Linked DNA regions of Schizosaccharomyces pombe. The gene in region 3 interacts genetically with the main gene of each other region. Each region holds a gene or a part of one and is shown on either strand. Other genes may lie near its edges. The genes, in order: sec26, cgs1, pat1 and rcd1.

What was found.
Region 1: of pat1 (region 3) and sec26, changing one suppresses a phenotype caused by changing the other (phenotypic suppression), as found in Schizosaccharomyces pombe (one study listed by BioGRID).
Region 2: of pat1 (region 3) and cgs1, changing one suppresses a phenotype caused by changing the other (phenotypic suppression), as found in Schizosaccharomyces pombe (one study listed by BioGRID).
Region 4: of pat1 (region 3) and rcd1, a mutation in one rescues a mutant of the other (synthetic rescue), as found in Schizosaccharomyces pombe (one study listed by BioGRID).

Annotation. Positions count from the first base shown.
Region 1 is NC_003423.3:1,027,686-1,034,272, reverse strand, and holds sec26 (coatomer beta subunit Sec26), read left to right. Parts: upstream 1-2,334; coding exon 2,335-5,157; 3' UTR 5,158-5,395; downstream 5,396-6,587. Other genes in the region: myosin I myo1, read left to right, coding at 6,343-6,345, 6,390-6,587. UniProt on the Schizosaccharomyces pombe protein: The coatomer is a cytosolic protein complex that binds to dilysine motifs and reversibly associates with Golgi non-clathrin-coated vesicles, which further mediate biosynthetic protein transport from the ER, via the Golgi up to the trans Golgi network.
Region 2 is NC_003424.3:3,641,079-3,647,332, reverse strand, and holds cgs1 (cAMP-dependent protein kinase regulatory subunit Cgs1), read right to left. Parts: upstream 4,305-6,254; 5' UTR 4,095-4,304; coding exon 3,965-4,094; exon of another isoform or gene 3,700-3,964; coding exon 2,591-3,699; 3' UTR 1,697-2,590; downstream 1-1,696. Other genes in the region: SPOM_SPAC8C9.04 (uncharacterized protein), read right to left, coding at 1-1,058; SPOM_SPAC1142.09 (uncharacterized protein), read right to left, coding at 4,488-4,835; DNA-binding forkhead transcription factor for ribosomal proteins Fhl1, read right to left, coding at 5,114-6,254.
Region 3 is NC_003423.3:1,681,112-1,686,251, reverse strand, and holds pat1 (serine/threonine protein kinase Ran1/Pat1), read right to left. Parts: upstream 3,392-5,140; coding exon 1,979-3,391; 3' UTR 1,697-1,978; downstream 1-1,696. UniProt on the Schizosaccharomyces pombe protein: This protein is a negative regulator of both sexual conjugation and meiosis. It phosphorylates mei2. It blocks the onset of meiosis until conjugation takes place.
Region 4 is NC_003424.3:5,416,866-5,420,760, reverse strand, and holds rcd1 (CCR4-NOT complex subunit Rcd1), read left to right. Parts: upstream 1-1,587; 5' UTR 1,588-1,949; coding exon 1,950-2,801; 3' UTR 2,802-3,395; downstream 3,396-3,895. Other genes in the region: multidomain vesicle coat component Sec16, read right to left, coding at 1-764; mtq1 (S-adenosylmethionine-dependent methyltransferase), read left to right, coding at 3,481-3,895. UniProt on the Schizosaccharomyces pombe protein: A differentiation-controlling factor that is essential for the onset of sexual development. Induces ste11 when sexual development is invoked through nitrogen starvation.

The DNA.
Region 1 (6,587 bases), 650 kb from region 3:
AAAGAAATGTTTTTCTATTAACTTTGTTATGCATGTTTGCAATCGAAGTTTGTTTTTAAACAAATACTCCTCTATTCAATAAATCTAACTTTGTAATAAGTTACCTGCAAATAAGCCATTTTTCTTTTATTTTACAGATAAAGCCCATTTTCATTATCTGTATCACGTACTCCCAGTGTGAAGTTACTTAGGTTACCTTGTTTCTTAATCCATCAAAAACTCTTTTCTTTGTCCTTAGCATTCTTTGTTTAAAGTTGTATATAAGGGGAACTTGAGAGATTTGAATTTACTTACAACACATATATTAAATATTGCTTTCAACACACGTTTGTACTTTTATTTTCCAAGATTTCCCTTTCTGAGAAATATTTGTCAATTAGTAAACATATAAGGCAGGCTACAAAAGATATCATTTGTATAGTTATAGTGAATTGAAATTTTATCGTTAAAAAGAATACTGCGGTTTATTGCAACTGGTTTTGTATAAATAATAAGGATGATGTCGAACGAGAATTTTGATAATGACTACAATCTGCCACCACCAAATGATTCTGCGGAAGATTTAAAAATTTTCATTGAAAGATACGAGAGATCTGTAGATTCTACATTGTTAGAAATTGACGAAAACAAAAGAGAAGCACTTGAAAAAAATATATTGAGGAATGAGATCGTAAAATGAAATATGAAATTGAATGCAATGAAAGGCTACAAGGATGGAAAAAGTTAGCGATTGAAAGGGAAATTTCTGAAGAACAATCGGGAGAAGTACAATTTCCACGCTGGATAGATGAATGGGCAAACACTAAACTAGGTGGAATTTTCGAACGAATATTTTCTAAAATGGACTCAATGCAAAATGACATGAATTCTCGGTTTGACGCTATGCAGAATGAGATGACATCTATGAAAGGCGAAATGGCCGAAATGAAAGTTGAAATGGTTGAAATGAAAAGGGAAACGATCCGTTTGAACACTAGAATTGATTTACTCGAACAAAAAACTGAAGCAAGGTTTCAGTCAATAGAGCAGCGATTTAATTCTATTGACCAACGATTTGACTCTATGGAGCAGCGACTTGACTCAATGGATCAGAAAATGGAAACAATTGATGCTCGCTCATGTAGGTCGATCATGTTGACAAGAAAGCTTGAAAATGCAACTCGTTCAGACCAAGGTTATTTGGCGTCACCAGTACCATTTCTGAATGGTAATGAGCCGGTTAGTAGTGGATTACCGCCGATAGAAAGAGTCGAAGACATTGACGAATTGTCAAAGGAACAGTGTGTCCAATATCTTAAGGGATACGGTATAACGTTTAGTCCTGCTGAGACTATTAAGTTGAAAAAGCGACTTCGTGATACAGTAGGCTTATGGTCAAAAGCGAGTACTGAATATGAATTTCATCAGTTCCATTGAATTTATGTTTTTATTCAAATATCTTGCTTTCTTATTCGCTTTTTATTGATACTTTGATATTTTATTGTATGTTTTCTCTTTGATGTTTTATGATTCGGTGTTAAACGTTTTTTAATGAAATTGATGCTTTATATAATTAGATGTCAATTGATACCTTCTATCCTAAAGCTTCTAAAGTGAAAGACGTATATTTGCAATATCTAGAAGGGTAGTTCACTTCACCAGTGAAAACTTCAACTGCCATATAAAATTGACCCTATAACAAATTAATCACCTTCTTTTATTGTAAAGCGCCATACGCTAGTATGAGTTGCAACTGATGATAAACTTTAAGTCACTAGTAAAAATACACGATTCCTATAAAAGATACACATCAAGTATACTTAAAGTACTTTTTTTAAGATTTTGCGGACGCAAAAATATAGATCGAATCAAATGTCTGTTCACTTATATATTTCTTGGGCGTCTTCATATTAATGTGCCCTAATATGCTGTATAAATTTTCTCCCTCATTTGGTCCTTTTAATTTAATAGAAACTGTTTTATCCTTACAAATATTATAGTAAGTGCTTGTCTGTTTCCTCTGGTTTTGCAATCATTTCTGCAACTAACAGTGCTTTTTAATGCAGTACACTAAAAGTACAGCGATGTGTTAATAGAAGTATCTGTGCAAGTTGAAACATACAGTATACAAATTATTGTATGTGTAGGCACTGAGATATATGATTTTCGATTTCATTCAAAATAAGAATTTGAAAGAATAAATTAGTTTTTTATTAGTTTATCTATATATATAATTTTTGCAGCTGATAAAATTTATGTTTACCACCCCTCTAAGCTTTCTACCTTGGCTATACAACACCTGCTTTCAACAAACATCAGGTTGGTTTTGCCGTCACCATACCTTAAGCAGCAAATATGTCTTGTTGGACACTTGTTCAACAGGATTTTTTAGAAGCTCCATCTGTTGATGCTCTAAAAACCTCGTTAGAGTCCAAAAATGATTATGTCAAGATATCTGCCATGAAGACAATCCTGCGGGTCGTAATTAACGGGGATTCTCTTCCTTCCATTTTAATGCACGTGATTCGATTTGTAATGCCTTCCAGAAATAAAGAACTGAAAAAGCTTTTGTACTATTACTGGGAAGTTTGTCCTAAGTATAACAACGATGGCACTATGAAACAAGAAATGATCTTAGCTTGTAACTCATTTCGCAATGACTTGCAACATCCTAATGAGTTCATTCGGGGAGCTACTTTACGATTTCTTTGTAAATTGAAAGAGCCAGAGCTTTTGGATCCCTTAATCCCAACCGTCCGCCAATGCTTAGAACATCGTCATGCCTATGTCCGTAAAAATGCTATTCTTGCCGTCTTTAGCATATATCAAGTCTCTAATCATCTCATTCCTGACGCTGCCAGTTTAGCCGAGGACTTCCTTGCAGCTGAGTCTGAGGGAACTTGCAAACGAAATGCTTTAATAGTTTTGTTTACTATCGATCCCGAAAAAGCTAAAGCTTGGCTTTTGGCAAATTTTGAGCAAATTCCCTCTCTGAACGCTTCTTCCCTTCTCGTTATCATTGAATTTATTCGTAAAGTCGTTTTAACGAAAGCTGATGGTCTCGAAAAACTTAGATTCCAATCTCTTTTGGTATCCTTGACTGCCACAAACAATAGTAGTGTAGTTTTCGAGGCAGCTACTTCAGTTATTAATGTATTTCCCGATGCGGAGTCTCTGAAGCTCGCTGCGTCTCGTCTATTAGCACTAGCAGATCGCGAAGCCGACAATAACGCCAAGTTAATTATGCTGGATCGTATTTCTCAATTGGCGGCCCGTGATAAATCAATCTTAGAAGACCTCATAACAGATGTGATTCCATTCCTTTCTAGTTCAGATTTTGATGTCTGTGAGAAAGCTATCTCAATCATTATGGGCTTAGTTTCTAGCAGAAACGTTGAAGACATACTTAACCATTTTCAAAAGGAACTTACTAAATCGAATGGAGAAACTGAAAAGGATGATGGTCGCCGTCGTGCTCTTACGAAGGCTATTCATTCTTGTGCTATTAACTTCCCTCACACTGCTGCTACTGCTATCCAATACTTACTCAGCCATATATCGGACTTTCAAAGCAAATCCGCTTCTAGTGTTTTATCATTTATTAAAGAGGTCATGGAAAAATTCCCGGATCTCCGATCATCAAATATTACTAAGCTCCTGCTCTCTTTGAAAGAGCTTCGTGCTGGTAAAATTTTCCGTGGTGTAATATGGATTGCTGGCGAGTACTGTCTAACTGAGGACGATATACGCGTTGCGTGGAAGAGTATTAGAGCAAGCCTTGGAGAAGTTCCAATTTTGGCGTCAGAGGAGCAACTTTTAAAAGACGTTTCCAATGTACCTGAGGACGATTTGCTTATTGATATATCTGCTCCGGCTTCAACAAGTCGAAAGGTCCTTCCTGATGGAACCTACGCTACCGAGAGTGCAGTCACTAGTGAAGCTTTAAGTGCTGCTCGTTTGGAGGCTGTCAAAGCTTCAAAAAAGCCACCGTTGCGCACACAGATTTTGAGTGGTGATTACTATCTTGCTGCTGTTTTAGCTTCTGCTCTTACAAAGCTTGTGATGCGTTTTGCTCGACTTTCTTTCGACAAAGAACGATTGAACGCTCTCAAAGCTGAAGCATGTCTTATTATGACATCTATAATTCGAGTGGGTCAGTCCAAGTTTGTAAAATATACCATTGATGATGACTCTGTTGAGCGTATTATGAACTGTATCAGGGCCATATATTCCTTTGAAGAGCTTCCTGAATTCCAAACGGTGTTTCTTGATGATATGCGAAAAGCATTTTCATCACTTGTTGCTCAATCAGACAAGCGACAAAAGGAGGCAGATTTGTTAGTTAATGGAAGTGATGCTGTTCAAGCCGATGAGCTACTGAATATTCGCCAATTTCAAAGGGTCATTGAAGAAAAGCAGGATCTTAATTTTGAGTCCGACATCATACAAGCCACCAACGATGGTATGGTAGTGGAAGATTTGGCATCTAAATTAGATCATATCGTACAATTAGCCGGTTTTACAGATCCTGTTTACTGTGAGGCATATGTGAAGATACAACAATTTGATATTATTCTAGACATATTATTGGTTAATCGAACGGATACCACGTTACAGAATCTCTCTGTTGATTTGGCTACGTTGGGAGATCTTAAGGTTGTAGAGCGTCCACCACCCATGAATTTAGGACCTCATGCCTTTAAATCTGTTCAGGCTACGGTAAAGGTATCTTCAACGGAGTCTGCAGTAATCTTTGGAAATATCGTGTATGGTGGTAAAGCATCCGACGAAGACAAAATTGTTGTTTTGAATGGCATTCCAGTCAACATTATTGATTATATAAAACCCGCATTCATTCCCGAATCTCAATTCCGTAGCATGTGGACGGAATTTGAATGGGAAAACAAGGTCGATATTTCTTCCAACGAAGACATTAGTCTGTACGATTTCTTACATAAAATAATGAAGAAAACCAATATGAACTGTCTTACTCCAGACGCGTCTCTGCGTGGTGACTGTGGTTTTTTGAGTGCTAATTTGTACGCCTGCAGTATTTTTGGGGAAGACGCACTTATGAGTCTTAGCGTTGAAAAATCCGTCTCCGGTCCTATCTCAGGACATGTTCGCATTCGTTCAAAAACTCAAGGCATTGCCCTTAGCTTGGGTGCATTTGTTTAGAGTAGAATTATATAAGGAATGTTATCCACTCTTTAAATTTCTTGATGGATTAAATTCACAATGGGAAAGCTGTTATGGATGCTGATTTAGTAGGTATATCATGTGTCTAATATTTCGCTAAATCGATATCTGATACGCTGTTTTATTACTCTTGTTGTAAATACCTTTCCTGCCGTTCTTTATTTAGCTCCTTATGATATTTCTACGATTTCGCAATTAAAAGGAGCCTGCCTTGTCATGTTCTCACTACTTGATATCCTGACATTACTAAAGTTGTGTACCTTGTATTTCTCTGTAACAGGCAAGTAGATTAGCTTTCATCTCGTGCATTTAGTTTGGTATTATATATAAACCCCGTTATTTCAATTAATTATGGCACTCACAAACGTTGTCTATAAATCACTGTTTGTATTCTTTTATAAATGATATAAACAGATGATTATGTTTAAGTTACTGCAAATCATATAGCTTCTCTCATATTGTGTTACATCCTAATATCTGTAATAAGTTAATTGTCATAGAATATACTCAAGGTCAATACGAGAACTACAGTTGTATTTGCTGGGGAATTCAACCTTTTATGTCGCGTTATAATAATCTGCGGCTGCTTTGGTTCTTGAAACGGCGATAGCCGTTATATCTAAAATACTTCAAAACTTCTCGCTTTATGAAAGGTATCTTCGACTTAAAATATTCATAATTGAAAATTCATGTTCATTTAATTCATCTTATCGACTACATGAACACACAATAATCAAATCAAGTATTAACTAATTCAAGCGCGTTATGTTTATCACTTCATCATAATTAGTCGCAAATTTCATACCTTTAGTGTGTTCGTTACCTTACCTAATGAAGTTACCCTAAAACACATTTGGATAAGTTTCGTTCGAGTATGTTACATAACAAGCCTCTTTCGGCTAGGTAATTGTTTTAATGTCAATACCAAAAATGGATGAAGCAAACGACAGAAAGCTAAAGTATATTCAATTTTCAGCTAAAGTACAATTTTAATAATTGGGGTCTGAAGTTTCGAACGGTCTTTGGCAATATTGACCTAGAAACTCATATTTCGCTCATTTTAACGATCCGTAACGCAATTATCTCAGTATTAGAAGAAACCTACACGTAAGTGCGGACTTGTCGTTAACCTATCTCTTGTTCGGCCATAAGTGAATAGATTTTATGGTAAGTAAATATGCATGCCGAATGTTAGCTAATTAATAAATTAGGCCATCCTTAAGAGAACAAACCGCGCGAAAGCTGCGACTGCAGCTGCTCCCAATAGCACTGGGAAAAGCAATGGTATTAAAAAGGCTGTTTATACCAGCACACGCAAAAAGACTGTGGGTGTTGATGATTTAACCCTACTTTCGAAAATTACAGATGAGGAAATTAACAAAAACTTGGAACTGAGATTTCGCAATGGA
Region 2 (6,254 bases), on a different chromosome or scaffold from region 3:
ATGCCACTAGCACTAGCTCTAGCACTGGTTGTTGCCTCATGCGTCACACCTCCCTGGCCAAGGGCGATGGGCGATTCTTCTTCCACCGTTACTGTGGTGGTATGGGGGATGACATCTGCATGTGGAATGTCGCTCGCATCCTCGAAAACCGTCTCTTGCTGAACGTTTTCACCAATGCTTTCAAGTACGTTATCATTCATAATTCCATCGGCCACTGCATGTGACTCAGCAGTGGCAGTAGTAGAGGCAGAGGCAACTGCTGCTGTTGTCGTAGCTGCTGCCTGATCATGCGTAGTATTTATTTCTTTCGATATCATAATAGCTTCAGGCTCAATGGGCTTCAATTCTGGAATTTCTTTCTCAGCGGTAGTAATGGGTTGTGAAGTAGCTTTCGCCATGTTTTCCTCTACTTTCGAAGAAGGTTGCGCAGCAGATGTCGTTGCTGGCTTAGACGTAATCGAAGCTGGGGAATTACCGAGTTGCTCGTCATTGCGCTGGGGTGCGAAATGTTCGGCTACGACGTAATCAGCGGATTGTGTGGTTGCAGTAGACTTTGTAGAAGCGGATGAGGAGGAGGAGGAAGGGGAATTGGCGGGTTCGGTAATACTTGTATTGCGTGCTTCCGTAGTTGGCACTGCTGTTGACGTGGAGGCAGAGGGTTTGTTGTCAGTAGGCGGCTCTACAGTACCCAGAGCTGAGGATGCTATGGGTTCCAAAGGCTCGTCAACCTGATCAGCGTCTTTCTCCACTATAGTTTGTGTAAATCCTGGCTCTTGTAATATGGTTTGTTCTTGTTGTTCCTCTTGCGCGTGCTGAGCTTCTTCCACAGGTGTGGAAGAGGCAGATGCTGCTGCTGACTGCTTCTTCTTTTTTGCAGCCTTCTTTTTGGCGCGTTTAGCGGCCTTCTTCTTGTTATCCTTGGTGACGGACGCCTGGGAAGAATTGTTATTCTGCTCGACCGCGTTGGTACTTTTCGAATCCAGCTTCTCCTGGACTCTCGACGTTACTTGGTGAATTTCATTTTTCGTCTGTTTAACAATATCGGGATTCGTGGTCATATTCAACTCAATTTTTGTTCTACTTTTACACGCTCTGCGTTCTTGTTTGGTGGTTGGTAGAAGTTGTAAATCTTGGCGTAACTAGAATTTATACGAAACCCTGTTATGTGAGTGAAAAAATGCATATGTAAACAAAGTTAATTCAGACGAAAGTAAGACACAAAACAAAACATTTCTTTACCAAAACATTGCTTCGCTGATCATCTTCTTAATATTACAATTTATCTCGAGTGCTTAACTTTATTCTGCAGTAATTGTCATTTCTACCCGTTGTGCTTGTTGTGAATAACCTACCCTACTAAGAACATTCACAGTAAATATGTAGTATGGAATATGGGGAAAAAAATTTTTCTTGTTTAAGAAAACCTTACGCATAGTTCGCAACTGTAGTCGTTTTTTTATTTATTATGTTCGCAAGAACATTGAATGTACGAAATTGAGTATTCTTTAAAATTTTTTGTATCCCATTTCGTACGGATTTGATAATTGAATAAAAGTCCTTTCGCTTTTTGCTGAATTTATTTGTCTAACAAGATATTCGTTTTATAAGTTTTTTACACAATTTGCATTCTCCTAGTTACACGTATCGTTTATCGCAGACTGTAGTTTCATCTAATTTGCACCCCTTTACTCAAAACTTGGTAAAAATTTTGTGTATTGTATTAAAAAACTATTCTCAATTCTTGATATTAGTCAATTTCTCATAAAATTTTTAAAGTTATGTCACGTAACTACAAAAACCGAGAACTCACTCAGTTTGCATACAAAACATCCACACTCTTGAATTTTTAACACTTCATCCCTTTCCCCACGTCTAGCGTCTGCCTAAAGCTTTCTAAGTATTTCATGCTTGCAAGTGTTTACGGACCACGGTAATTCTTGTATAATGTGCGTTACTCCAATGCCAAGTACATTATTGAATGCAGCTGCTGTTTTGAAGAGTGTGTGATTATTCAAAAAACAAATATAAGAACTCTCCATATAGATAGAAATATTTGACGATATCAAATATCGATTAAAAAACAAAAAAAAACAGGATGAAGAGAACGATAAAATAACTGTCATGATCCGTACGAAAAAAAAAACACAAACTAAACGGTAAGCTTCCAAACATCAAATGCTGCGATATTCGACAGATAAAAATAATAAAAAAAAAAGGAAATTTCAAAAAGAAAAAAAAAAACAAAATAAGAACAGTGAAGTGGTAATCACGAATATAATTGGAATTAAAACATTAACAAACCATATCCAGTGCCATGCTAGAACAAGACATAAAGGTTTTCAAAGAAATAAAAAAGAATAATACGTATATATACATTATCACATATAATGCTGAATTAGATAAGTAATCCAAACAAAACATGTTCAACATGAATAAGTAAATTATTCCAGGGATAATGGTAAACAATCACATGCATGCATGACCAATATGAAAAAGTTAGAAGGCAAACAAACAACAGGGAAATTCTTTAGCATATCATGACAGGTCATTATTACAAAGATAGTTTCAAAGAAAACAGATTATAGAAATTTTATGCTTTAGTTGATGGAGGTGACCTATGAAGAGATTGGTCACCATACTCATTATCCATTCCCATCCTGGCACGAGGTTGATTACGCATCAAATCGATCGCGTTACCAAGTAGTCTATTAAATGTAGGTTTATCAAATGTAGCAAGTTTCAGGCGAGTTTTTGCCTGTACCGTCGCATTTCTCACTGTTTCGTGAATTAAAGCTAGTTCACCAAAGTAATCTCCCTTGGTTAGGGTAACGACTACGCCTTTGCCATTCTTCACTACTTCAGCCTCGCCATCCTCTATCAGATAAAACTGGTTACCAATGTCGCCTTGTCGAATAACGATGCTACCGGCTTGATACACGACTGTCTGAAGAGCATCGGCAATTTTTTGTCGTTGATATTTGTCAAGGCTTGAGAGAATGGGAACTTCTTCAAGGAGGCTTTCATACAGCATCCTCTGGCGATATGCGTTTTCAAATACGATACGACGGAAACTTGTACGATCTAATGCGTAAATTACATTATTTGGTGTTTTGGAGACCACCGATGCAGCTCGTGGAGCATTATACATGAGTGCCAACTCTCCAAAATATTCACCGGGAGAAATCGTAGTTATGTAGTTACCATAACCACTCGAAAGCACTTCTTCAGGGGTAATATTTAGTTCGGGCCTTTTGTATACATCGAATTCACCTTGCTCCACAATATAAAAGTAATCTCCAACTGCTCCTTGGACAATGACAGCAACACCAGCCTCTCCAATCCGTTTTTCAGTCATAGCGTTCAGAACCTCGTTGTAATGTTCTTCATCCAAATTCTTAAACAAAAAGTTCCCAGCAACTGAGCGCTTTAGTCTTTTCAAATCTTCAGGATCCTTCGGAGGAAAGGTTCGTTTGGTCTCTAGTGCAAATGCACTAGGATTCATCGACTCAGTGGAAACAGATTGGCGACGCAACAGATTGTAGTTTTGCGGATATGAAACGTTCATTTCTTTTAATCCTCCCAATTCAGGAACGTATTTGGCATCCGGACCAATTGCCTCGGGGCCAGCAACCATATCGTTGAGCTCAGACAGGAAATCGCTTTCATCTCCGTCGCTAAAAGACTCTGTAATGGTGTCGCCTAAAAGAGAAATTTGTTAACATGATAAAACAAAAAAGGGTAAAATTTGTGTAGTATAGAGTGGGAGATTAAATGGGTACAGGGTCCTTAAACAACTTTGTGGAATTATTAACAGCCAGGAATCATAATTGCTGTTTGCTGACTAAATTTAGAAAATACTTACTATAGAGCAAAACAAAGTAAAAAACCACAAAAAAGAACCCATATTGACCATCATTTACTTTTCCTCTCCACTAAACATAGCTATCCAGAAGCATCTACTTACCTCGACGAAATACTGAGCGCTCAGCTTTCAGCTTTTCTCCAAAAAAGTCATAGCAAAATTGAAGTACATCTGAAGGATTTTGCTCATCAACAAGGGCTTTTAGCTCCTCATATACTTCTTCGAAAGACATGTCTCCTAAAGTTTACGTGCCTTTCTTTCAAAAAATGCGGTTTTTTGTTTCTTACTCTCAGTGAATCACAATCTCGCGGTTTTTGTTCGCTTCAGCTTTTCCTGACACTTTAATCAACCACAAGAGGTAAATTTTCCAAAATAAAAGAGCTGAATTCAGCTATACAAATCAGTTATTTACCTTCGTTTGTTACGGTTGAGATGTATGTTTAAAGTCTACCTGAGGCGTTGGACTAAAATGGATGGATGCCTGCATTAGCTCACTCATACGTCATAAAATGTACTACGCAATGCCCTGACTCCATAATATGGGGTTTATCGAAGCGCATAAAAAAATAGAGAGTAGAATGTTTGACGATGCAACATAGCTTGCGTTTTCCAGTGTTTCGGTATATTATTTTGTGAAGCTTCTTGTACATCCGTGAGTTAAGTTAGTTAAGAAATGAATAGTGAGCGGTCTATGGAAAAGTGATATGATAAATATACATCTATAGTAAGAAATTAGAATCGCTGAATATGAGTTGTTTGTTTTCAAAACAAATTCAATGTAACTTTTGAAGTCTATCAGATCAGAGAGCTTGCCCGACAGGATTACAACAATAATAGTTTTGGTCTTATTAAAAGTGCTATAAAAACAATCATTGAAGTAAATATGCTTTCTGTATTGGCTAAACAAAGGTTTCAATGAAAACGTAAATAAGGAATCGCTAATGTTCACAGATAACAAAAGCGAATCCTCCATACCCTTCCTGCTTTGCTATTAACTTTTTCGACAAGAAAACGAAAATGCTTATTAAATGAAATAAAACCAGACGGCAATTTATTATGTAAAGTATTAACTAAGGTAAACATTAAACACATGAGAAATAAAAGTAGAAACCACCCAAAGACCAAGTTGTGCAATCACTGTCAAAAAAAGAAAAATGAAACAGCTTATGCATGCTGGTAAGTGTAATTTTCGGCACTAATGTATTAATTAAGAAGTCATCAACAACGTTACGTGCATGAGCATTAGTAAATTCAGGTATAAGAGGATGATGTCTCGTCCAACGGTCGCTTTACTCCTCGTAAAGCGTCGCTTGAGTTTGATGGTAAATTCATGCCCCTTACTGAAGATGAGTCGTCAACATTGTTTCCGTTCTTTGCATTAGTATCAAAAGATCCATTTTCGTTTTCCATTATATCTCTTTTACTAAAGCTTGATGCATTTCCAATGGAATTCATCCTTTGTCCTTGATTGCCTGTTTCAACTCTCTCTAAAGTATCATTAGGCGAAGAGTATAAAGGCCGATCAGAAGTGAATGGTTTGTTTATTGGTATGGTGTGTAGATTTTGATGGCTTGTTATCTCTGATTTGCTTTCAGAAGCAGTGGAGTTGTACGACGATGATCGAACTGACGATGGCCCCGCGGACACATTAGCCATTGCTCCTGGGGGTAACGGGTCTCCAATACTCTGGCGTGTATCTGGTAACTTCGAAGGAGCAGATGGCCTAACATATGGAGGTGGTCCAACGTTTACTGCAGGACGTTGAGTGACTGAGATACTAGGAGACGGTGATGTTATGTTAGGGTGCGGCATTGCAGTCGGCGCCGGATTAAGTTGCTGTGAAGTATAAGCTTTACGACGCTTTGCCTGTTGTTGCACTTGTTGGGGCCCTTGCATTTGCGTTTGCTGCTTTTGAAGTTTTTGGGCTAAAGCCACAGCGAGAGCATTCGCAATCGCTGTGGCTTGCTCCGGGTTGTTGGCAGCGGCAGGTCCTAGCTGCTTATTAATGTGCTGTTGGAGTAGTGAAATTGCTTGAACGGCTTGCTCGTTGGGAGCCTGTTGCTCTCCATTTGCATTCTTGAAAAACTCGGGGTTCAAAGCAAGTTTCCCATCGCGCATAATGATAGGTTGAATGCCATTTTGAAGTAAGGATTGTGGTCGATCCTCTACATTTTCTCCTCGGGAAGTATGAGTTTTACTACGACTAGTTTCTTTTTGCGGATTAAGCTGTTCGGTTTTTCCAGCTGATATACCCTTTGTCTGGATAGCGGCTAATTCATTCTCCCTAGCAGTATCAGGATGAGCAGCTGGTGTAGCAGAAGGGGTGGGCTTTTTTGTTCTTCTAAAGAAATTACCCTCAAATTGATCTATGTAAGAGGGGTCAAGCATCCAA
Region 3 (5,140 bases):
ATATAAACACATTATGTGGTACAGCCTGTAGACTTTTTATATTTGATAGCATGGTTTGTCGAGTTGTAGGTTTTATTTATTTATTTATTTTTTTAAGTAGACAGCATAGTTTGTGTAATTGATTTTCCATCCATTAAGTTTATTATCCTACTTTTTCGTTTGCACAGAATCTCATTCACTAATACACTCATACATACACACACTTTTTCTTACCCAATCCTTTCTATTTCATTCCTTTACTCCTAGCATTCTTTATAGAAATACATATTCCACTTCATTCACCTATTCATCCATTCATCATTCATCTATCCACTCTATCTTTCTCATTCCTTTCCATTCCTTTACTATATATGCACTACAACTTCATATTCTTATTCCCTAAACAAAACCATAGTGTTCTTCCTTTGCCTCTCTATTCTTTTCCGCTCTTGTTAGCTCTTCACTCAAGCTGACATCCCTCTTCCAGCCCTCCGTCTAACCTTTTTTTCTCCCTGCAAATTAACCTTTTTGTTTCACCATCTCACCATCTTCATCTCGCCTAAAAGGTCTCGCATTCGGTTTCGCCCAAACATAACTTACCGGAACATGCCACCTGCCATCGCTACTCTTCCTGTGGTGTACGGATGATGGTAATGATGCATTCCGTACAATACCCCAAAAAGCTATGAGAAAAAGGTTCCCTATTCCTTTCCAAATTTACTTTTTCTCCCCTGGCGTGGCAAAGTAGCGTAACTCTTCCTATTCCATCTACTAGAACAACTCTTTCGCGTGAGTTACAGTCCCGACCTTCCTTTCCACTTCTTTGTTTACTCGCACCTTCACGCCCTATTAGAGTAAAAAACACTGCCAAAAATTTTATACTATCAAAAAAACGCCATTTTTGTGTACTGCAAGAATCATTACGGTATTTGTAAATTAGCTTCCAAAACGGTTAAACTCTATTAACAAAACACACAGATAACCTCTGTGTACAGCCTAATAAAATTCTCGACCTAGTTCAACTTTCCTATGCCTATCTAAGCTTAACGAATTTTAGAAGCATTGGTTTTTTAAAATATAGCGTTATCTAAAACAGAAAAACTGTATCATCTATTAATGCAACCTAAAGTAAAAAACTATATACATATAAATTTATGAATTTTGTTACAATGTTTACTACATACACTTTACATTCAGTGGAAATTCGTGTAAAGATAATAAATAACAAAGTTTAGTAAAATTTGTCCCCTTACAGGAAACTTATAATTGTATTATTGCTATAATTTAATTGCATCTTCAAACCTAGTTTTCTAATTTCTTTCTCTATCATCCTTTACTAAAATATATCTTTACTTAACTTAACAATATCTTTATTTTTGAAAATATTGTCCAAAAAATATTCTATATACACAACGATATTTGATATAATAATTGCTTAAAAATATCAGTAAAAATATTGTAATATTAGAATTTACAAGAAGATATCTATAAATTTAATTTAATATTTTAACTTTTAACAATATTATTACAAGTTATGAATAATATCCTTCTATCTTCGTATTCCAAAAGCTTAGTTTGCTTTATCTCTTCAACATTTCGAGTATAGCGGTGATACAATATGACTGCATGCTTCATGCTCTAAACTCTTTAAATTTACTATTACAACCGTCGTTAAAACGATCCATTCGTCTACCTTTTCTTTTTTTTTTTTTTAAGTATATATTTATAAAAAAATTTTTGTTTTAAAGAACAAACCACAAGCAAAAAAAATTCATCAATGTTGTTAACAGAAAAAGATAATGCTACCATCATAATAAACATATAAAAAAGAAGAAATATAAGTATAAAACAAGTGCATAAAATGTTAGCTATTTACACAATGTTAAAATTCAAATCCCGAGAAATAATTATTGGGGCAGTCAAAGCCCTCTATAATGTTTTGCAGTAACCCTGAACAAAACAACGTGCGGTAGCGAATATAAAAAAGAAGCAAGTAACTTTAGAGCGATTTTCGAGATGGATCTACGGCATCAGCAGCACGACCAACTGGTGCAGGATGCAAAACGAATCCAGTAAAAGGTATGGGAGTCAGCGGAGGTTGATTAGGATAACCGAAAATTTTTGCATTATTCGGATAGGGTGTGGGTGTAATAGGCATATATGAGTTAGCATTGTTATGGACAGCTGCTGCCGCCGCTGCGGCAGAAGGCCAGAATGATTCGGTTGCATGAATAGGTGCTGTAAGAGGTGTAGTCGGATCTACTTTAAGTGAAGAATTTGGTGTAAGGACTTGTAAGGAGACAGGGATCGTTGGAGTAGCACAATGATTCCAATTACTTACAAACTGGGGAGTCGGAGGCCAGGGAAAGCCAATGTTTTGAGTCGGCATATAGCCTTGATGAGGGTAACCTTGAATTCCTTGTTGCAAATTCATTTGTTGCTGTTGTTGTTGTTGTTGGTATGCGAGATAACGAGATGAAACAAGGGGAGCAGGTCGTAAACGTCGTGTAAGGTTCTTACAGTTTGATACTAGCGTGGAAAGTTCGGGTAATGTGATTCGGGTTTTGGGATTCCTATCAAAAATTCGATTGAGTAGAGAATTGAGCTCTCTACTGATGGGTAAAATGGATAAAAGGGTTGATGGATTGTGAACGTAGGAACGGTAAGTACCATCAGTTTGAGAACATGCACGCTTCCAAGGGTTCCTCTTACAACACAGATTAATTAATATAATTCCCAGAGCCCAGACGTCATTTGGCGCTGTAGCAAAGCTGGATGATTGTGATTCTATAGGTTCAGGAGTTACCGGTAGCATATCTGACAGCGAACTAAGTTTTTTCACCTCCCGTTGACATTCTGGAGACATGTAAAACAGACTACCACATCCAAAGTCACTTGAATAGGGTTCTGTAGTAGCCAGACCAAAATCAGCTAAGTATACGGTGTTTACATCATTTCCAACCATAATGTTTTCGGGTTTAAGATCTCGATGATATATGCCAACTGAGTGACAATGTTCAACAGCAGAAATAAGCTGTAAAAAAACGGTTTTAATTAAATGACTATTCCCTTGATATACCTTTTTCTCCGTGATGTAAGTAAAAAGGTCGCCATTCGGACAATACTGGAGAACGACATAAATGGCGTCTTCCGTTTCTAACACGCGGTGCAATGTAATAATATAAGGATGTGAAGAAACACGAGCATGTAAGGCAAGTTCGCGAGCTTGTAACTTCTTCTGCTTTTCATTTAAGCCATCCTTACATAAAGCCTTTACTGCATACAAGGTACCGTCGTAAATGTCTTCTGCTTTGTACACGACACCATAAGCACCGGCACCGATGATAGAAACAAATCGTAAAGAATCACCCAAGACCTGACCCAAAAGGAGTTCTGGATTTTCGCGCATCATCTAATGTTTAGTAAAGATAAATTAAATAAAGTCCCAATTGATGGCGAAAATTAGATAAGAAAATAGAAAATAAGTATTTCGGATGATAAAGTTTTGAATAGCTTAAAGAACTTTGCAACCGAAACAAAAAAAAAACTTTGAGAAAGGTTAGATTTTCTAATGTCTTCTAAAATCAATGATAAAAAAAACAAAGATCGTTATAAACAGGAAAATAGTCAATAACACAATGATAGGTTTTATCTTGATCGTTTGAGGTTTAATAATATAAGGGAATTTACAAGAAAAAAATTTTTTTTTCAATTGTAAGCAGGTAAAAAATACGACAACGAAGAATGAAAAAGAGAATCGAATACGCCAATCACAGAGAAAACGACCAACATGCAAGAAACAAAATTAATAAAGAAAAGGGGAAATGCAATTGTGGAAGGAAGAGTTAAAACGAATAATATATAATGTTTATGATTAAAAAGCACAGGTCCTTTTGAGTACAACGAATGGAAGTGAGAAGGGAATGTGAATAAAAAACCGGGAAAAATGATGATTAGTATTTTAAGCAGGGAATAAAAAGTAAGAATGCTCAAGATAATCAAAGGAAACTCTAAAGATCAACGTACAAACAAGACACACAACGATTTTCCAAAGGAACAGTAAGAGAAATCGGGAAAATGTACAGGTCAGTAGTCGGTTAAAGATGGGGGAGAAAAGTAGAATTAATTTTTACCTAGTAGTATATCCTTTCCAAATTGAGGTAAAAATGAGAATAGAATGTTCGGTTTAAAAAGAAGAGAGGGGATGAGAAGGAAACACAATCGACAATCAACGCTTGCGAGTAAGTCAATAGACTTAGGTGGAAGAGTTGGACTGGGGAAAAAAGAGATGAGTTCACCTAATGTCAATAAGTATGCACAGCAATATGGATTTGTGAATGTAAAATGAAAAAATCGAGTAATTAAGAAAAGCCGAGAGAAGAGAATTCTTGAAAAGTATTTTCATCAAGCACAAAGGAATTTACAAGAAATCGTTCAGGGTAATTCCCATTTACATTGGGGAAAAGCAGAGAAGTAGTAAGTTTGGATATGGAAAGAAGTATCTATCTCTAATCGAAGAGGCTAGGGGAAAGAACAAAGAAAGGAAAAGCAGACGCGAACAAGAACCAAAGACGAAAGTGAAAAAGAATAAATAAATAAAACAAAAAAAAAATAATAAATTAAAAAAGAGGAAAAGGAAACGCGACTCAAATATGACTAATGCTCGTCGCGATGAGAAATAGTGATTTCTTTGTTAGAAAAACGAGTAAGATGGAAACTTTTAGACACGGGAGATGATAAGAATCCAAGAGGAAGAAGGGAAAACAAATGTAAAAGAAAACGAGGATGGTGGAAGGGAGGATATTAGTAAGAATAAAAAATGGTGGTTAAAGAAAAAATAAAATCCAAATTCGACAATTCAACGTTTGTTTATAGAATTTCGAAGTTTTTAATTAAAAAAAAAATAAAATAAAAAAAATAAGAATACAATCCAAACTTGTGTAGAATGAATAAAAGATAAATTTTTTAATTTTGGTTCGATTTCTAATCAGATAAAAGTAGTGTTTTCTTTATTGCTTTAACACAGTAGACAGCCGAACAACCTGAGTAAGAGTAATCGCGTTAATGACCAGGGGATATGAAAGCTGAAATCGAAATTCTGGAATTGTGGTTAATCACCCACAGGATCCAGCAAGCAAGAACGCTTTTCTAGCTTGCCAAG
Region 4 (3,895 bases), on a different chromosome or scaffold from region 3:
TTTACGGTTTCAAAAGTCCCTTCCATTCCGTGAATGGAAGGAACCTCGTGGACTTCATGGTCTTCATTTTCATGCTCAAAAGTTGTAATTAAATCAGATGTCTGATCTTCCATATCAAGAGTGTCATTATATTGAGAGTTCGTAATGTATGCATTCTCAACTGAAGTACTAGTTTCTATCTTTTCGACTTCTGGAGATGGTGGTTTAGGAATTGTCTCATCATTATCATATATTTCTTTTTGCGACGATGAATAGTTTTCGTCACCCTTAAGAGTCGTTTCTAAGTCTTCCTTGCTCAAGTCTTCTTCAGAGAGTTTATCGTCTTCATCCACAACAGGCTCATCCATTATGTCAGAAATAATGGTTCCAGCAGTAATTTTTACCAAGTTATCATTTGAAGACTCCTCTTCTGTGTGAGCCGATTTGTCGCCAATGGTATTTTGAGGATTAATTTCCTGCACATTGTCCAAAGAATTACTCTCTATTAAGTTGCTTTCTTCTTTAACACCTTCTTTAGGCTCAGAGGAAGGCAACTGAATGTCAATTTCTGAAACTGACTGTTGAGAGGAGCTATTGGCTATGTTGTTTTCAACAAAGGAATCCATAGGTTCAATTGTGCTTTGTTCTTTTCTAGAGGTAGAAAAAATGGTGTTTTCATCTGTCACATCAATATCGTCAGCTTCAAAAGACTTGCGTATAGAATCATGCCGTCCTTCAAGATCAACAGAAGACTCCTTAGGCTCGTGGTCTGATTCAATATCCATTCCTTGATACGTTAGTGCCCAATATTATATTACTAAGACGAAAAATTTAGCTTATTTTTTAAACGAAAAATAGGCAGCAAAGTATACCAATAAATGGAGGATAAAACAATGCTCAAAGTTGTAGGAAAAAAATTGGCCCCTAGCTTTCCATGAGAAATGGTCAACCAAAATTTCACAAACAGTAATCGAAAATAATAATAGGTAGGTTCAAATAAAAAACAATCAACCACAAGGATATAGAAAATGGTAGGAAGTTTGTTGATGGCGCCAGTCAGTATCGAGAGATTAAAGTCAGAAGCAGAATAGCATACATCCTTATACTACGCTATATTAATTGTTCGTGAATGTTGTTCATAATTCTTCGTAAGGGTAAATATAGTAAACAAAAAAGCTATTCAAACATTAACGCAATTATTGAAGAAGAAACGGCTCAAGTTATTATATGTTTGAATACTAAATTACTCTTGATGAAAGTGTAAATGATGTGCAATTAGCAAACATCAACGGTTACGCATTCGGTATGAATATGTATTTACAAATCTTTAGAAAAGTAGTATTTACAAAAGCGTTAGAAATAACTTTTAAAAAAGGCTTTCAAAGATATAACATAGGTAAATTCCTTTTCTTATATCTCTGTTATTTTATAGCTTCTATTAGAAGCGAGCTAAGAATGGTTAAATACCTTTTCTAAATGCGTTTTGCCCACTTTTCTTTAAAAATATTTGATTCTCCTTATTACTCAGTAATGTATCTTGCATTTTTCTAACGCGCAGTGCGGTAGGTTTGCTATTCCCTGCCAACACTGTGCTTGTCCATTGCTCTCACGCGAAATCTACGGAACAGCATTTGCAGTTCAGGTTTATAAGATTGTTGTATTTTAAATTATTTAAGTCCAGTATTGCTGTGCAAGTTGATACTGTTTGGCACGCATAGCACGAGGACTGAAATTCCATTAAAATTTTAAAAGCTTTATCATTTTCTCGACACTCAGCACTTTACTGACTGTCGTTTAACGTTAATACCTTTTCTTTACCTTTTAGTGCATTATTCTATCCTTTGGATTGAACTACAAATTCGTTAGGTGTTGCTCTTTAGTTCCGGCAGCTATAAAATTATTATTCTTTATTTTATTCTTTTCGACAATAAACTATAGCATTTTTATTTCTTTCCCGCATTCTAGAAAAAATGGAAAACTTGGAATCCCCTAATTATGAACCAGCACTTGTCTATGAATGGATAATTCAACTTGTTTCTGGGACATCTCGCGAACAAGCTCTTGTCGAACTATCTCGTAAACGAGAACAGTATGAAGATTTGGCTCTTATTTTATGGCATTCATATGGTGTGATGACGGCTTTGTTGCAAGAAATTATCAGCGTTTATCCTCTTTTAAATCCACCCACACTTACAGGACCAACTAGTAACAGAGTGTGCAACGCGCTAGCTTTACTCCAGTGTATCGCTTCTCATCCTGAAACTAGAATCCACTTTTTAAATGCACACATTACTTTATTTCTATACCCGTTTTTGAATACCCTTTCAAAATCCAAACCTTTTGAATACCTGCGCCTTACTAGTTTAGGGGTGATTGGTGCATTAGTTAAAAATGACTCTCCAGAAGTAATCAACTTTTTATTATCTACAGAAATTATTCCTCTTTGTCTCAGAATCATGGAGAACGGTTCTGAATTATCAAAAACCGTTGCGATTTTCATCGTACAAAAATTTTTATGTGACGACGTTGGTCTTCAATATATTTGTCAAACATATGAACGCTTTTATGCAGTTGCGTCGGTTTTGAACAACATGGTAATGCAGCTTGTAGACTCTTTTGCTTTTCGTTTACTAAAGCATGTTATTCGTTGCTATCTTCGTCTTAGTGACAATCCTCGCGCCAGAGAAGCTCTAAGACACTGTCTACCAGAACCTTTACGTGATGCTACCTTTGCTCAGGTTTTAAAGGATGATCACAACACTAAAAAATGTCTTGCCCAATTGTTAATCAACTTATCAGACGTCGCCGTTGTTAATCAGTAATCGTTATTTTTTTTTTTTTTAAAAAACTTTTCTTAAATGTTGAATTAATTATTTCAATATCTGCCCTTCGTTTCCTATCTGGTTTACTTTCAATCATAATTTGTGACCGTAAGTGATTGGCATATGGCGATTTTTTGTGTTATTCGTCCGTCACCAATTTTTTCTTGTGTCTTTCTTATATCTTCCTTTATTATTATTTTTGCCCTGTCATTTTTCACTCCTCTTAATGTGCTCAAGTTATTCCTCAGGACAGAACTTACTCTGATGGCTTTTTTAAGGAAATCAGGGGTTTACTGTTAATTTTGCTTACAATTGTTAGATTCAGGATTTCATATCCTTTTCTCTTAATCTTTCCTTAAAATGCGTCACGAATGATGATTTTTACGAGTCAGCAAAATTTAAAAAAAAAAATAGAAAAAGATATAACATTCGCCGACGCATTTAATGTTTTTAACCAAAACACCTTTTTTCCTATTTCGTATCATATATACTTATACTATTTCTACAATATTCAATTCAGTTTCATCGATTACCTCTAATAAATTTAAAGAATTCGTACAATAGACAACAGAATTTGATTTATATTTACGTTCGTTAATTCTGCTATACTTCATTCAAGCAAATAATCAGATAAAAGTAATTTGAGATAATTTGTCCTCCTAATTATAGTGTTTGTCATATGCGACTACCAAGAATTACTAAATTTGCTTTATATCGAGAAAACCCTTGCCTACTCCCTCTTTATCATGCCACAAGAGATCCATCTTTGGCTAAAAGAGAGTGGACGTGGATATGCAAGGAATTAAAGCTGCTGTATCCAGAAATTAGCAAACATGGGTTGCGAAAAAAGATAGTAAATGCCTGTCAACTTCGAGCAAGAAACTATCCACTTCAGTATATACTGAAAAGTCAACCTTTTGGTAATATCAAGATAGATTGTCAACAAGGAGTTTTAATACCTCGTTGGGAAACAGAAGAATGGGTTGAACGTGTGGTTGATAAGCTAAATCGACTCGAGAGATTAAAACCGTTAAAGATTCTCGATTTATGTACAGGGTCTGGCTGCATATCAAGCTTTGTGTTGGCAAACCTAA